Linked DNA regions of Rattus norvegicus. The protein of the gene in region 1 purifies or fractionates together with the protein of each later gene. This does not show direct contact. Links are inferred from orthologs where the notes say so. Each region holds a gene or a part of one and is shown in the gene's direction. Other genes may lie near its edges.

Region 1 (3,500 bases):
ACCTTACTTATTTTTATTTTTGTATGTATGTATATGTCTATGTGTGCATATCCACATGGGTAGCCAGAACAGGATGTTGGATCCCCTGGATCTGGCCGTTGTAAGCTCACATGGGTGCTGGAAATCAAACTTGGGTCCTCAGGAAATTGAATGCCCTTAACTGCTGAGCTATCTCTCCAGCCGCTCCACCTCATGTTTTGAGACAGAATCTCTCATTGAATGTACAACTCACTAAATCAGTAAGGCTGGGGGCAACGTCACAGATCCTCCAGATTCACTCCTCAGCCCGGGGATTACAGGTGTCCCATGCTCCCAGCTTTTCATGTGGGAGCAAACGGGGTCCTCCTTTGTGTAGGGAACCTGTATTCACTGAGGTTTCTCCCCATCCCTGAAAAGATGACATACTGTGCACCAACGCACCGACTAAATTAAAATCAATTCCAAGTATAGACTTGAGCTTCTTACAGCCTCACAGCTCCCAAATTTTTATATTTTCCAGCTGTGCTTAAAATGACATGTCATGGGCTTGAAGTCAGTTCCCACGCCTAGCCCTAGGCATCCATTATCAGCCCTTCCCTCTTCCTCCTCCCCTCTTCCTCTTCCCCCTTTCCCCCCTCCTCTTCCTCCTCCTCCTCCTCTTCCTCTCCCTCCTCCCCCCCTCCTCCTCCCCTCTTCCTCCTCCCCCTCCTCCTCCCCCTTCCTCCTCTTCCTCCCCCCTCCTCTTCCTCCTCCTCTTCCTCTTCCTCTTCCTCCCCCTCCTCCTCCTCCTCTTCCTCTCCCTCCTCCCCCTCCTCCATATCCTCCTCCTCCCCCTCCTCCTCTTCCTCTTCTTCCTCCTCCTCCCCCTTCTCCTTCCTCAATGTTTTATATTGTTATGTAGCCCTGGCTGGTCTGGAAGTCACAGAGATCCGCTTGCCTCTGCGGGATTGAAGGCGTGCACCATCACACCCATCCTGCATGTCTTCTCTACAGACCCAGCCAAGCTCTGCCCCAACTAGAGATGGGTGGGTCAAAAAGTCAGGCTCATCATGAGATGGTCTCTGAACCTTTACAGAGAACACAGTTCAGTGAACATAAAACACCAGTGACTCCATCACGGAGGTCGCTCTCAGCCCCGTAAATCTCCTTTATTGCTCTCTCGGGGTCGTAGCCGTCGTGTGCACTTACGTCCCATTCGCCCTTTCCACTTAAAATGGCTTCTATGTATTGACATAGCCTACTTAGATTTAGTAGTTAAGACAAATTACTGAAATTAATCCACCCTAGTTTGCTTAAACATTTCTCAGTTTTTGGACATTAGTAGTGTTTAATTTTTCAGTATTAAGAAAAAATGTTACTTGAAACATTTTTTTTAATCAATGTTGCTTTTTTTATTCTTTTTGATCATCCACTTGGAATGTCACCCTTAAAGTTAAATTACCAAGCCAAAGGGCATAAAAAATTTAAATAGGTTTGTTCTGTATTGGCAGATAGTTTTCCAGAAATATGCTGCCCAATGTGAATTACCATTAAGAGCGCTTGGGTGTTCCTATTTTCATTATAGCTTCTGACAGAACAGGAGTCACAATAAGAAAAGATTGTAAACTATTTTACATTATTAAATTTAGAATATTTTACATAATTAAATTTTTATGTTTAACATTAGTTTCTGAAAATTATTTGTTGGCGTGCTTAGCACGTCTTAGTGAAAATGTTAGACTACAGTGAGGTGGGAACTAGACTTCCCAGGCCTACAGTTCTCTCCCCTGTAGCCTACTTAGCTTCAGATTGATAGTTTAAATAGGCAATCATAGAGGGAAAATGTCCCAGATTAGTCTTGTTTAAATTATCTTTAAGAAATAACGTTTATTTGGGGGGATTGTGTAGATTTTTTTTCTCCCCAGGGCTTGACTTGAGTTAAAAGCTCAACTCTCAGCTCACATGGAAACAGGATGCAGTGCATCAGTTTTACCTGTTCCTTCTTGCTCTGGCCCCCAGCTGACGGGGCTGTCAGAAGTCACAGGATATCACCTAGCAGACTGCTGACTCCTGACTTCCCAGAGCCCAGCCCAGTGTCTGACACCTGCGAGGCACCTAATGAACACTTACCAATCAAGGAAGGCAAATGAGGCAGGGAAGATACTTAGTAAAGCACCTACTATGCAATCACGAGGATCTGAGTTCCAACCAGAACCCACTTACAAATCTGGGAACAGTGACACACACTCGTAATAGTCCTAATTCTGGGAAAGGAGACAGAAAGAGAAACTAAGGGTTTGATGACCATCCAATCTGGCATCACTGGAACATTCCAGGCTAGTGTACAACGACTCTGTCTTAGAAACAAGATAGATGGTGTCTTCATGAATGCCTGCTGTCTGAAGAGGCCAGAAGAAGATATAGGAACCCCAGGGACTAGGGTTACAGACAGTTTTGGGCCACCATGTGGCTGTTGAAAATTGAACCTGGGTCCTCTGGAAGAGTAGTCATTGCTCTTAACCACTGAGCCATCTCTCCAGCCCCTCTGAAGAGAATGGGTTTTTACAGAACCTTGTGTGTTTCTGAATATTTGTCTGCGATGCAGATGTGTGAGATGCCAGTGAACACAGCAGAAAACCCTTGGAAAGTGAGTCCCAAAGAAGAGCAGGAGCGGAGGGACCTGAGGAGCACCCACCTTGTGTTCAGCATCGACCCTAAAGGTTGTGAGGACGTGGATGACGCGCTCTCAGTCAGAACCTTGAATAACGGCAACCTGGAGCTCGGGGTCCACATAGCTGATGTCACCCACTTTGTGGCCCCCAACTCTTACATCGATGTTGAAGCTAGAACGAGGTAACCCTATTGGAAGGCAGTATTGGCGCTGAGAGTTTGTATCCCTGTTAGTTTCAGATGCTCCCAATCTCTCATTTGTGCAGCTCTGAAAATCTCTTCTGGGCTTTCCTGAAGTCCCCACCTTCAGGAAAATAGTACCTTGATTAGTTTGCGTCCTTTCTTAACCTTTTACCCATCGTTTGTTTCCTCCAAAGTTAAAATGAGTAAATTTTCACATGTAATACAGTATTTTGTATAGATCTAGATCATTATGCTACCGTTTTTCTCATACAACCAAGATTCATGTCACTTTTACTTTCTACATCAGTGGAGGAATATTCAGCCAAAGCAGTGTGACTTGGTCAAGTGGGCACACGGGAGCCATTTCATTACGCAGAGGCTCTGCTTTATGAAGAGCAGTAGCCCCAGGGGAGCCCAACTGTGCTCTCAGCTGTTTACCTCCTACAGCCCACGCTGTCAGCAGTTCCTCTGGCTGCTGAAGGTCAGTTACGTCATGTGTCATTCCAGGGCCACCACTTACTACCTAGCCGACCGCCGCTACGACATGCTGCCTTCCATCCTCAGCGCAGACCTCTGCTCCCTCCTGGGAGGCGTTGACCGGTGAGTCTGATTTCACCTTCAGAGCTGTCTGCCTTCAGTGTGCTCTCCCTCCACCCACACCCTGCCCACTGCCTTGGGAGCGCCCTCCC
Region 2 (4,207 bases), on another chromosome or scaffold:
CGAGAGAAAAGACAGATCTTATAAGTCAGCTGGGAAAGGTGTTTGAGCCAAAACAGCTGAGTTGAACCAGCCAGCCAGAGATCTGAAAGAATTGGGAAGGGGTGAGTTTATTCAGCAGTAATTCAGAGAGAGAGAGGCTGAAAACAGTCTAGACCTAGATAAGATCGTACAGAGGCTAGAAACTTCCAGAACTAGACCTAGGATAGCAGACAAAGGCAACAACTGCAACAGGAGAATAAAAGTTACATTTGTATCTCACTACGGATTTGCTCGTCACCTGTGGCTGGCTTTTACAACAGTCGTCTTTCAGAAGAGGTCTTTACTAAAGCACACTAAAGCCATAGGAGCACTAGGTGAGGATCCAGACCAGCACCTAAGGGTCAACTCCACTGTAGAATACAAGGCCCCCTAGGAACAGTATTCACTATCTTCTGCTCAGATAGTGGTTTAGAGTTGGATGGCAAACTCAAGGTTCACTTCTCAATCTCTAGACTTGACCAACAATAAATAAAATGATGAAATTGGATAGTTTGGGTAAAAACTCATACAACTGAGCATGGCGGTTTACGCCTGTAATCCCAGCTCTTGGGAGATAGAGGAAGAGGAGTTCAAGGGCATCCTGGGTTACACAGCCAGTTTGAGACCAACCTGGATGACATGAGACACTATCTTTAAAAAATTTTACACGGGGCTGGGGATTTAGCTCAGTGGTAGAGCGCTTGCCTAGCAAGCACAAGGCCCTGGGTTCGGTCCCCAGCTCCGAAAAAAAAGAAAAAAGAAAAAAAAAACTTAAAAAAAAAAAAATTTTACACCTGGGCTGGGTTCAGAGGTGGAGAGCACTGGCTGCATTTCCAGAGGACTTGGTTTCGATTCCCAGCACCCACATGGCGGATCACAAACATCTGTAATTCCAGTTCCAGGTGCTCCAACAACCTCTTTTGGCCTCTGTGGGCATCAGACACTGGAGTGTACGGAGACAAACGCAGGAAAAACGCTTATACACATAAAACAACAAACCAATCAGATGCGAAAAGCACCATTCGCACCACCACCAAAACCACAACCTACTCAAACTCATGTAATCGGAGCGTTTGGGAGGTGGAGGCATGAATCTCTGGAGTTCAGCAGGGTTATTCTCAACTGTACAGTTTGTGTCCAGCCATACACGGGACCTTTTCTCAAATACAAACGCCAAACCAAACCAATTCCCTTACAAGTCATATTCCCTTACAACGTCTTTCCGCGGGTGCTTTCTTGCCAATAGTAAACATGGCAGCTTGGTACCCTCTTTTCTTCGAGTTAACTTAATAGTTGCCAATAGTCAACATGGCCGCCACACTATACATTCCATTGGTCGCTTCTCTGAAGGTGGGCGGGAATTGAGGCGACTGTGTGGAGCTGCGCCTGCGCAAGTCATTGGCGCCAAGATGGCGTTGGAGATGAGGCTCCCTAGGGCTCGCAAACCTCTCAGTGAGAGCTTGGGCCGCGATTCTAAAAAACATTTGGTAGTGCCAGGGGACACGATCACCACGGATACAGGCTTCATGCGGTACGTGAGGATTTGGGGGTCCCAAGGCCTCAGGAGACGGCTGCAGAGCTCTCTGCACGTGGCCCGCTGCCCGGGAACCCAGGCCTCCTGTCCCCTTGTATCTAAGTCACCGAATACCTGGGACACCTCAGAGCATCCTCCTTTCCGAGCCTCATGCTTCTGACTTCCTGCATCTTGGGTGCTCCTCTGTCAGTTCCTGATTTCTCCTTTAATCTATGGTGTCAGGAACTTTTGAACCCTTATCCTGAAACTCAAGATTTTTGAGCTTTCCTGGGGAGGGCTGGGAGCAGGACCCTTCTTACAACCCTCTGAAGAGACAGTGGGTTGCTGGCTTGGTCGTTTCTTTCAGTGTTACCTCAGCGACGAGCCTGACTTTGAAGCAGTGATTTTCGTGGGGTGGGGGTTGAGGTAAGCATTCAGTACATACTGTGCATAGATGCACCCAATAATACAAACTTAGCAGGCTATCGGAACTTGTGGTACTTTGGGCCTGCTCTGGAGTCGTGCTCTCCTTAGCTGTAGCACCTAGCTAAGGCCGGTACCCTCACCTGGAAGACGGTGGTGACAACAGGAATTGGTAGAATCGGGAGTATTAAGCAACTGAAAAGTGGGGGCAGGAAGCAAAATTTCAGCAGTGGCCTGAAAAAACCTGGTTGTTTTTTCTTTCTGGTACAAATGAGATTATGGTGTTTATAGCATTGCCTCTAGACTTTATGTTTAAAGTATTAGATGACAGGTATCTTAGGATTCATTTCTTCATACTTGCAGCATAAGTTCAACATAGTCCCTGTGGTTGGGGTACCAAAGGCGGGGTTTATCATCTAGCAAGGAACAATAACAGTAAATGCCACAAGAACGTCGTAAATGCAGACGAAGGGGGAGAAGAGGGGTGTAGTTGGCAATGGGGTGGACCAGTGGGGATCCCTGTGTTGCCTGGGATGTGCAGTTCTGTTGTTGGAAAGTGACATTCGAGCACACTTTTTTTTTTTTTTTTCTTTGTTCTTTTTTTTCGGAGCTGGGGACCGAACCCAGGGCCTTGCGCTTCCTAGGTAAGCGCTCTACCACTGAGCTAAATCCCCAGCCCCTCGAGCACACTTTTTAAGATGGGGATGTCCACATGGCTCTGTGGAGGCAGGGGGAGCCTGTTAGGTTCAAGAACCATGTTCTAGATGCTCCCATGTTACCTCCAGTGTAACACTGCTATCCTTTCTTTGTGGTCTTGTCCTTGCACAGGGGCCATGGAACATACATGGGGGAGGAAAAGCTCATTGCGTCAGTGGCCGGCTCTGTGGAGAGAGTGAACAAGCTGATCTGTGTCAAAGCCTTGAAAACCAGGTGAGGACAGAGGTGTGTATGTCATTCTCGGAGCATCTGGGTTGTACACAGGCCTTCTCCGTCGTCTCCCCATGTCATCTAGGATCATTCCTGTCACACGCCTGCTAGGTTGAATGTGCCTGTTTGTCACAGTTAGTGCCGGCAGCCAACTTGACACAAAGCTGGAGTTACCTTGGGAGCGGAAACCTAAAGCTAAGAATTGTCTCCATCAGATTAGCTTGTGGGCATGTCTGTGGGAGCATTTTCTTCATTGGTAATTGATATAGGCAGTGTCACCCCTGGACCAGTGGGCCTGGGGTGTGGAAGGATGGGCACTGTGCTGCAGGCCTTTTATCCTAGTACTTGTGAGGCAGAGGCAGGCAGCTCTCTGTGAGTTCCAGGGCAGCTCTGTGTGTGTGTGTGGGGGGGGGGGGAGAACAAAAACCTGAGTCTGGGAAGCAAACCAGCCAGTAGTGTTCCTCCACAGACTCTGCCTCAGTTCTGGCCTCCAGGTTCCTGCCTGGCACTCCTCCGTGATGGAGTGTAATCTGTAGGCCTAATAAACCCTTTCCTTCTCGAGTTGCTTTTGGTTGTGGTATTTATCACAGCAACAGAAAGCAAACTAGGACACTACAGAAGGTGTGAGCTTCAAAGGTTTCCTCACGTCACTTGATCCCTCCATGCGTTGGGCTTTCCTTTTCCACATCATAAAGAAAGTAACCAACTCAGGATTGTTCATTCGGAATTCAGTGACCTGCTACAGTAAAGTACTTACACACAGGGCCCAGGACCTAGAAGAAGCCCATAAAGGTGCGTCCAGAAGGGAAGCAATGAGCCTGGGACTGATTAGTCAGGCAAGCCGGAGCTGTGGCAGCCAAGTGGTCACCCTGCCTGGCAATGACAGTGAGGACTTGGGCTTCGTACTGTACCAATTGGGAAGCCCTTGGAAGGGATCAAGCAGAAGAGAGCAAGAGAGCTGTGATCTGACCTACGTCTTCATCACTTGCTGTGGTTGCCATGGAGACAGTGAAGGGGGACAGGGCATGTTTAGGGAGCTGGGCTGGGGAACTGTATTCATCTGAGAAATGACCGAGTGATGGCAGGCATGGCCCTCAGCAGTGGCTATGTCCTCTGTATGCCTTGCTTTCAGAGTGTCCTTTGAAAGGCTGTTGCAGTAACTGATGTGTTTAAGGAAAGCTAACAGAAGGAATAGAGATATTTTTAGTTCCCCGTTTCCAGTCTGGATGTCTTTGTTTCCCTCACACATTTGGAGGTGCCTTCAGCAGGGTCTGTGCTGTGCTTATCCCAGAGTGTGACAGGCATCAAGGTTTCTGCCTAAGCATG
Region 3 (3,998 bases), on another chromosome or scaffold:
ATCTGCTCCTACAATACACAGGGTTGTTAAAGAGGACTCAGTGGGACTATAATCTGCTCTATCTACCCCACAGGTATGAAGCAAACAATAAAAATATACCTCCAAGCTAGGTGTCACGGTCCCACCTATAATCATTATAAGAGCACTAGGGAGGCTCTGGTAGGAAGATTGCTAGTTTGAGGCCAACCTGAAATACATATCAAGATTTTCAAAAAGCAACAGCAACCAGGTGATATCGCACATGCCTCAGATCCCAGCACTCTGGGCAGAGATAGGCAGATCTGTGATCTCAAGGCCAGCATGGTTTACAGAAGGAGTTCCAGGACAACAAAGGCTACAAAAAGAAACCCTGTCTCCAAAAACAAGCAAACCAAACAACAGCAAAAAAGGGCCCATCACCAACAAACACAACAAAATCTCAGGACTATGTATTTCATATTCTGAGTGAAAACACTCCCAAATGTATACTAAGTGACCGAATCTTTAAAAATAATCAGAACTCCAAAACCTACTATACAGGTGCATATAGACAACCGCAGGCGCTTTGTGCTTGCATCCAGGCTATAGAGAAAACTTACTGGCCAAGGTAAGGGAGGGAAACTTATGGATTTAACCAAGCAAATGAAAAAGAAAAAAGAAAAACTAAACTAATACTGAGCCACAAAGATAATAATCACGTGTATGTGGAACAAAAAATTGTGCTTGGCTAAACTGACCACTGTAAAAACCACACGGACGAAAGACGAAAAAAAGAGAAGGACCAGATTCCAGCACTCACAGTGGCTGCCCCCTTCTAACCTCCGCAGCACTGAGCACACACGTGACGAAAAGACATACAAGCAGGTATGCTTGTTCAATACATTCGTACAATAAAAATAGATATACAGTTTTTTAAAGGGCCAAAAAAAAATAGTCTCCGCTGGGACCAGCGCCTCCGACAAACCGAGGACGTCCGGAAAGAGAAGTTTGTCTTCAAGGCGTACCTACTTCAACAACCGAGGAGAAGCTGCAAAAACCAGCTCGGCTCGGGCCTTTGATTTCCCGGAACCGAACGACGTGACTCGTACATTCAGCAGGCCGGGGAAGCTACGAGCCTTGCACCGGAAAGGGACTAGTTTACCGGAAGTTATAGCTCTCCGAGACTGAAAAGGAAACGGACCGGCGGAAGTCGTAGTCGCGGAAGCCCAGGTCATCTAAGGGGTCGTGCTCTCGGAGGCGGAGCGAGGACTGCGCAACATGGCCGGGCTGGAGCTCCTGTCCGATCAGGGTTACCGGATAGACGGTCGCCGCGCGGGGGAGCTGCGCAAGATTCAGGCGCGGATGGGCGTGTTTGCGCAGGCCGATGGCTCGGCTTATATCGAGCAGGGCAACACCAAGGCACTGGCGGTGGTCTACGGGCCTCACGAGGCGAGTAAGCGGCAGGGATTGGGGGCTCGTGGCCGCACGACGAGGAAGTAGACCTTACAGCTTAACTCCTCTACCTATGCAGCAGTATACTAAAATCCCATCTTTGAATTTCTGGGGTCCTCCCTGGCAGAAAGCATCTCAACACACGTTGTCCCACCGTGTTGTAGGGGAAATGATGTGCGTGCATCTGCGAGGACCTGGCTTCTTCTGATTTCACCTCACGAGCTCTTTCCCTTGGTTAACTTCCATTTCAATCCTTCCTTTGTGTTACATCCACTAAGCCATGAATATAATTATACCCCGAGTTCTGAGTCCTCTCGGGGAATTGCATCCCTAACATGGCCCTCAAATTTGTATAAGTATTAGGTCCCATGATGAACTGAGAATATTGGTTTCTTTAAGAACCCAGTTATGTTATGTGATTATGTTTTTGTTTTAATCCCACGGGTGGGATATGGGGCTGCTTCAGATTGTCCACAACTACTATGATTGTCTCATGCAGGGACTGGGGGCTCATGGCTGCACATCGTGGGAGTGGACATGAGTCTTACTGCTTAACTCCTCCGTCTCAGTGGGCCTCTTTTCTCCTGGGCTGCCCTCTTCATCTCTGAGGTGCCTCATACATCCTGGCAAAGCTACACTCAGTCCCTGTTCTTTCAGTCCAGTGTTTTGACATCTTGTCCGGAAAAGGCCTCCCAGGCTATTTCTGCCCCTGCTACATCGATTTTCCTCAGTCTTCCATGTCTCTTGTCTCTCTACTGGAATGTAAACTCCCAAGACAGAGACATTATAAATTGCCTGCCTTTGCTGCTTTGTCTCAGTGGTGTAGCAAGGCCGGCAAACATGCACATTTTAAGGGTTTTTTTGTTTGTTTGTTATTTGTTTATTATATATAAGTACACTGTCACTGTCTTTTAGACACACCAGAATGGCATCAGATCCCATTACAGATGGTTGTGAGCCACCATGTGGTCGCTGGGATTTGAACTCAGGACCTCTGGAAGAGCAGTCAGTGCTCTTAACCAATGAGCCCACATTTTAAGGTTTGCTAGCAATTTGCTCAGCTTTCTAGGTGGAAGCCAGGTCAGGTCTAGAACACATTAGGCCAGACTACTGGTAGACCGAGGGACAGTAGATCAAATAAAGTTGAGTGGTTAACCAAGGAGATGAGGACCCAGGGCTTTGAAGGTCGGGGAAATTGAGATTTTCTTTTACATGTAATGAGAAGCTTCTGGAAGGTAAGTAAAATATTAGTGTGTGGGTGACACAGTCAAATCACATGTTTGTAAACATGGTGACCACGATGGGAATGATTTAGGAAGAAATGGAGCAACTAAAGAACAAAGGGGTTTTTTTTGCGGAAGGTGACAGTGGTGCGGCTTAGACCGAAGTGTAGCCCTAAACCGCCTGCCATGGTTTGGAACCAAAGTAGCTGCTGCTTTCTGAAGCACTTTAGAAAGAAGAGGAGGAAGGCTGAGCCATCGAGTGTGACCCAGGAGGTAGGCGGCCCTGGCTCATTCCTTCTTTTTTCCTCCAGATCCGGGGCTCCCGGTCACGGGCTCTGCCTGACCGGGCTCTAGTGAACTGTCAGTACAGTTCAGCAACCTTCAGCACAGGTGAGCGCAAGCGAAGGCCTCATGGAGACCGGAAGTCTTGTGAGATGGGGCTGCAGCTACGCCAGACCTTCGAGGCAGCTATCCTCACACAGCTGCACCCACGTTCTCAGATAGACATTTATGTGCAGGTGAGCCTCAAACCACTCCCCCGGGGGCGGGGCTTAAGGGGATGAGGTCTGCCTGAGATGCTGGAGGATGAGATGTCTGATGTCCTGATGCCCCCTGCAGGTGCTACAAGCAGACGGTGGGACCTATGCAGCATGTGTGAATGCAGCCACGCTAGCAGTGATGGATGCTGGGATACCCATGCGGGACTTTGTGTGTGCATGTTCGGCTGGTTTTGTGGATGGCACAGCACTAGCGGACCTCAGTCACGTGGAGGAAGCAGCTGGCGGGCCCCAGCTAGCCCTGGCCCTGCTGCCAGCCTCTGGCCAGATTGCACTGCTTGAGATGGATTCGAGGTTGCATGAAGACCACTTGGAGCAGGTGCTCGAGGCTGCTGCCCAGGCAGCCCGGGATGTGCACACTCTGCTGGATCGTGTTGTCCGGCAGCATGTGCAGGAGGCCTCTATCTTACTGGGGGACTGAGGCCAACCCCCCATATCCAGAATAAAGGCCTGTTCCTCTCCTGAACACACTGTAATGTACAGCACTTCAAAGCAGCTCAGGGCCCTACATAGCAGTTTGTACTGCAGTCCCTAAGTGGAGAGAACACTTGTGCTAGGAAGAGCAAGAGTGCTCATGCTGTGCCTGCCCAGATATCAGGGTCCACAAAGACCACCAGGGGTCTGGATTTGTATGCAAAAGCAAAGCCTTTATTCACACTTAAGCTTGGACCCTCAGAATCCTCCAAGCATCAGATTTGTGCTGAGACCTTGAACCTCATTTAGGCAAGGTTTTTATACTAGTTTGAGCAGGGAACGGGGGTCTCCAGCATAGCGATTGCCTTACTTAGCAAGGGTTGAGCAGGGAGGG
Region 4 (3,068 bases), on another chromosome or scaffold:
CTACCCAGGAATGCTACCTAACATCCTGATCACGTCTAGATGAGGTCACTCTGCCAACCTGAGGCTTCTAGGTCTGCAAGTGGGAAGGAAGCCTTCCACTGCAGAAAATAAAGGACCATGTGCAATACTAGATGATACCACGCTCTCCTTTCTCCTGAGGTTGACCTCAGCTCCCTATACATGCAGAATACAGGCTGTGTGTGGTTCTGGCTGGTTTCTGATTGATGTTATCACAGAGTACAGCCTCAGACTCCTGAACTTGAGGAACGGCCCCTGGGAGAGCAGAGCTAGAGGCAGAATGGGTGGGCTGAAATTGAGGCATTCAGTAAAAGGGGTGGAGGAAAATTCTTCTGAATTGCTTCACATGAAGAAGCACCATTCTTAGTCTCTTGGGACAACCTCATAATGGCTTTCATCATGTGTGTTCAACGTGCCTCCCCTTGAAGCTGCTGATATGAGGTCAGACAACTAATGTAGGAGGTATGAATGTAGAGATGTCTTCTAGTAACTGCCCCATCCCTGCTTCTTTAACCTGAAATAGGTTCAAGACCCTGGCTCGGCCCTAAAATGCAATTTATATGAATCTACAAACAGCAGGGTCTGGAAGCTGAGATACTGCTTGCTTATGACAGATCTCAGAGTGTTAGAATTATTATTCAGTTGTAGGAAGAGAGATAACGTCCATTTATTAAACAAGTGTTGAAGCAAGCCAGGGGACTAACTACAGGAATGAACAAAAAGTTCTTTTTTTTTTTTAATTAATTTATTTATTTCATGTACATGAGTATCCTGTACTCAGACACACAGAAGAGGGCATCAGATCTCATTACAGATGGTTGTGAGCCACCATGTGGTTGCTGAATTGAACTCAGGACCTCTGGAAGAGCAGTCAGTGCTCTTAACCGCTGAGCCATCTCTTCAGCCCGAACAAAAAGTTCTTACCTAGGGCAAGCTTATATAAAACAATCTGAATGCAAAATTCAAGGAATGACAGTAGATCAGGTCCTATGGAACCACAGGTCCAGCCAATACCTCGCCGTTCTTCCTCCATTCCGCTAGGTGGCAATGCGGAAACCTACCGCTCTCCCGATAGGCTCCGCGCGGGCGCGTATCTTTAAGCGAGCGGAAGAGCCGGTGCGCAAGGCATCCTGGCAGGCGGAAGTAGCTCGTACGCCGGTAGCCGCCATGCCGGGAGACCACCGCCGCATCCGAGGGCCAGAGGAGTCCCAGCCGCCGCAGCTGTACGCGGCCGAAGAAGACGAGACGCCCGCTGCTCGCGACCCGACGCGCCTACGACCGGTGTACGCCCGCGCAGGGCTGCTGAGCCAGGCTAAGGGCTCAGCCTACCTGGAAGCGGGAGGTACCAAGGTGCTGTGCGCCGTGTCCGGTCCGCGGCAGGCCGAGGGCGGTGAGCGCGGCGGCGGTCCCGCCGGAGCGGGCGGTGAAGCTCCGGCTGCTCTCCGGGGTCGCTTGCTCTGCGATTTCCGTCGCGCGCCCTTCTCCGGTCGCCGGCGTCGCGCGCCCCAGGGCAGCAGCGAGGATCGTGAGCTGGGTCTGGCTCTGCAGGAGGCTCTGGAGCCCGCTGTGCGCTTAGGACGCTACCCTCGTGCTCAACTCGAGGTGTCCGCGCTGCTGCTGGAGGACGGCGGCTCTGCGCTGGCCGCGGCCCTCACCGCTGCTGCGCTCGCCCTGGCCGACGCGGGAGTGGAGATGTACGATCTGGTAGTGGGCTGCGGCTTGAGCCTCACACCGGGGCCCTCCCCGACTTGGCTGCTGGACCCCACGCGACTGGAGGAGGAGCATTCTGAGGCCGGCCTCACGGTGGCGCTCATGCCCGTGCTCAATCAGGTGGCCGGGTTATTGGGCAGTGGGGAAGGCGGCCAGACTGAGAGTTGGACCGATGCGGTGCGCCTGGGCCTGGAAGGCTGCCAGCGCCTCTACCCGGTGTTGCAGCAGTGCTTGGTGAGGGCTGCCCGCCGGAGGGGTGCCGCCGCCCCGCCCTGATTGGAAAACTTGAGCGACGAGGATGCGGAGGACTGCTATCGCCCTTTTCTCCCAAAAGGACCAGCGCTGATGGTTGCCCGATTTCGCTGAGCTGAGACAGGAGAGTGGGGGAGTGGTGCGCACAGAACCAAAGCTCTGCACAGCTGCGTTGGAAAGAAGTTTAAAAGGCCGTTGGAAACACGATCCAGTTGGAGAAATTTGAAAGCAGCCATATTCCTAAGTTGGAAAGGACTTGGGCTGGATTTACTTAGTAAATGAGACCTGGGGCTATGGCCTTGTAAGGGATGGACCCTGTGCAGGCCAGCCGGCAGCTCCAATATAATTCTTTTTTTTTTTTTTTTTTTTTTTTCTGAGTTGGGGACCGAACCCAGGGCCTTGCGCTTGCTAGGCAAGCACTCTACCACTGAGCTAAATCCCCAACCCCAATTCTTTTCTTTTGAGAGGATGGACAAGGGGACTTTGCCTTCTCACTACTCGAAGTAAAACATAAAAACATTTTTATGCCTGGAAATAACATGTGTTGTGATTTTTCTTGAGTTAAAAACAATGCTGTTCAGAAATGGGTGTGTGTTGATTGTGTGTTGTCAAGGGTCCAAGTCATTACTGCCTTAAGTATTCCTGTTAGCCCGCTGTAAGAAAGAAAGGGTTATGTGCTTTGGAGGAGAAACCAGCTGCCCCGGGAGCATTGTCTAGGGCAGCTGCCGAGGGGATAAGACTGAGCAGATTTCAGGACAGCCAGAGCTACACAGAGAAACTCCCGTCTGGAAAAGTCTGGGGAGAGTTCAAAGGAGAAGCCTGGATGCACCCCTGTCCTTTCCTTTAGGACAAAACCATGTCTAGGAGTTAGGTAACTGAAAAGGATTATGCTCTGGAAAGAAGCCGGGTCCCATCCTGGTGCCTGTCCAGGCTTGGCTCCTGGGAACAAGGGTCTGGGCAGCAATGGTCTACTAAAATGCAGACCGCCTAATACTGTGGTATCATTTACAGCCTGGCTATTAAGGCAGAGCAGGCCTGACTGACCAGTATAGGGACTTATCCTGTTCTTCACAGGCTGAAGTGGAGGA

Evidence for each region. Proteins that work in one complex are often made in the same cells at the same time.
Region 2: the proteins of Dis3l (region 1) and Exosc2 purify together in Homo sapiens (affinity purification with mass spectrometry; 5 studies listed by BioGRID and IntAct, with this or other methods). This does not show direct contact. The link is inferred for Rattus norvegicus from reciprocal best matches to the Homo sapiens genes DIS3L and EXOSC2.
Region 3: the proteins of Dis3l (region 1) and Exosc4 purify together in Homo sapiens (affinity purification with mass spectrometry; 5 studies listed by BioGRID and IntAct, with this or other methods). This does not show direct contact. The link is inferred for Rattus norvegicus from reciprocal best matches to the Homo sapiens genes DIS3L and EXOSC4.
Region 4: the proteins of Dis3l (region 1) and Exosc6 purify together in Homo sapiens (affinity purification with mass spectrometry; 3 studies listed by BioGRID and IntAct, with this or other methods). This does not show direct contact. The link is inferred for Rattus norvegicus from reciprocal best matches to the Homo sapiens genes DIS3L and EXOSC6.

Annotation. Positions count from the first base shown.
Region 1 is NC_086026.1:73,708,028-73,711,527, reverse strand, and holds part of Dis3l (DIS3-like exonuclease 1), read left to right. Parts: intron 1-2,563; coding exon 2,564-2,811; intron 2,812-3,318; coding exon 3,319-3,411; intron 3,412-3,500. UniProt on the Homo sapiens protein: Catalytic component of the RNA exosome complex which has 3'->5' exoribonuclease activity and participates in a multitude of cellular RNA processing and degradation events.
Region 2 is NC_086021.1:35,359,259-35,363,465, forward strand, and holds the start of Exosc2 (exosome complex component RRP4), read left to right. Parts: upstream 1-1,407; 5' UTR 1,408-1,427; coding exon 1,428-1,549; intron 1,550-2,782; coding exon 2,783-2,884; exon of another isoform or gene 2,885-2,896; intron 2,897-4,207. UniProt on the Homo sapiens protein: Non-catalytic component of the RNA exosome complex which has 3'->5' exoribonuclease activity and participates in a multitude of cellular RNA processing and degradation events.
Region 3 is NC_086025.1:109,927,293-109,931,290, forward strand, and holds Exosc4 (exosome complex component RRP41), read left to right. Parts: upstream 1-1,198; 5' UTR 1,199-1,236; coding exon 1,237-1,407; intron 1,408-2,944; coding exon 2,945-3,151; intron 3,152-3,251; coding exon 3,252-3,611; 3' UTR 3,612-3,941; downstream 3,942-3,998. UniProt on the Homo sapiens protein: Non-catalytic component of the RNA exosome complex which has 3'->5' exoribonuclease activity and participates in a multitude of cellular RNA processing and degradation events.
Region 4 is NC_086037.1:55,930,370-55,933,437, forward strand, and holds Exosc6 (exosome complex component MTR3), read left to right. Parts: upstream 1-1,153; 5' UTR 1,154-1,185; coding exon 1,186-2,004; 3' UTR 2,005-2,568; downstream 2,569-3,068. UniProt on the Homo sapiens protein: Non-catalytic component of the RNA exosome complex which has 3'->5' exoribonuclease activity and participates in a multitude of cellular RNA processing and degradation events.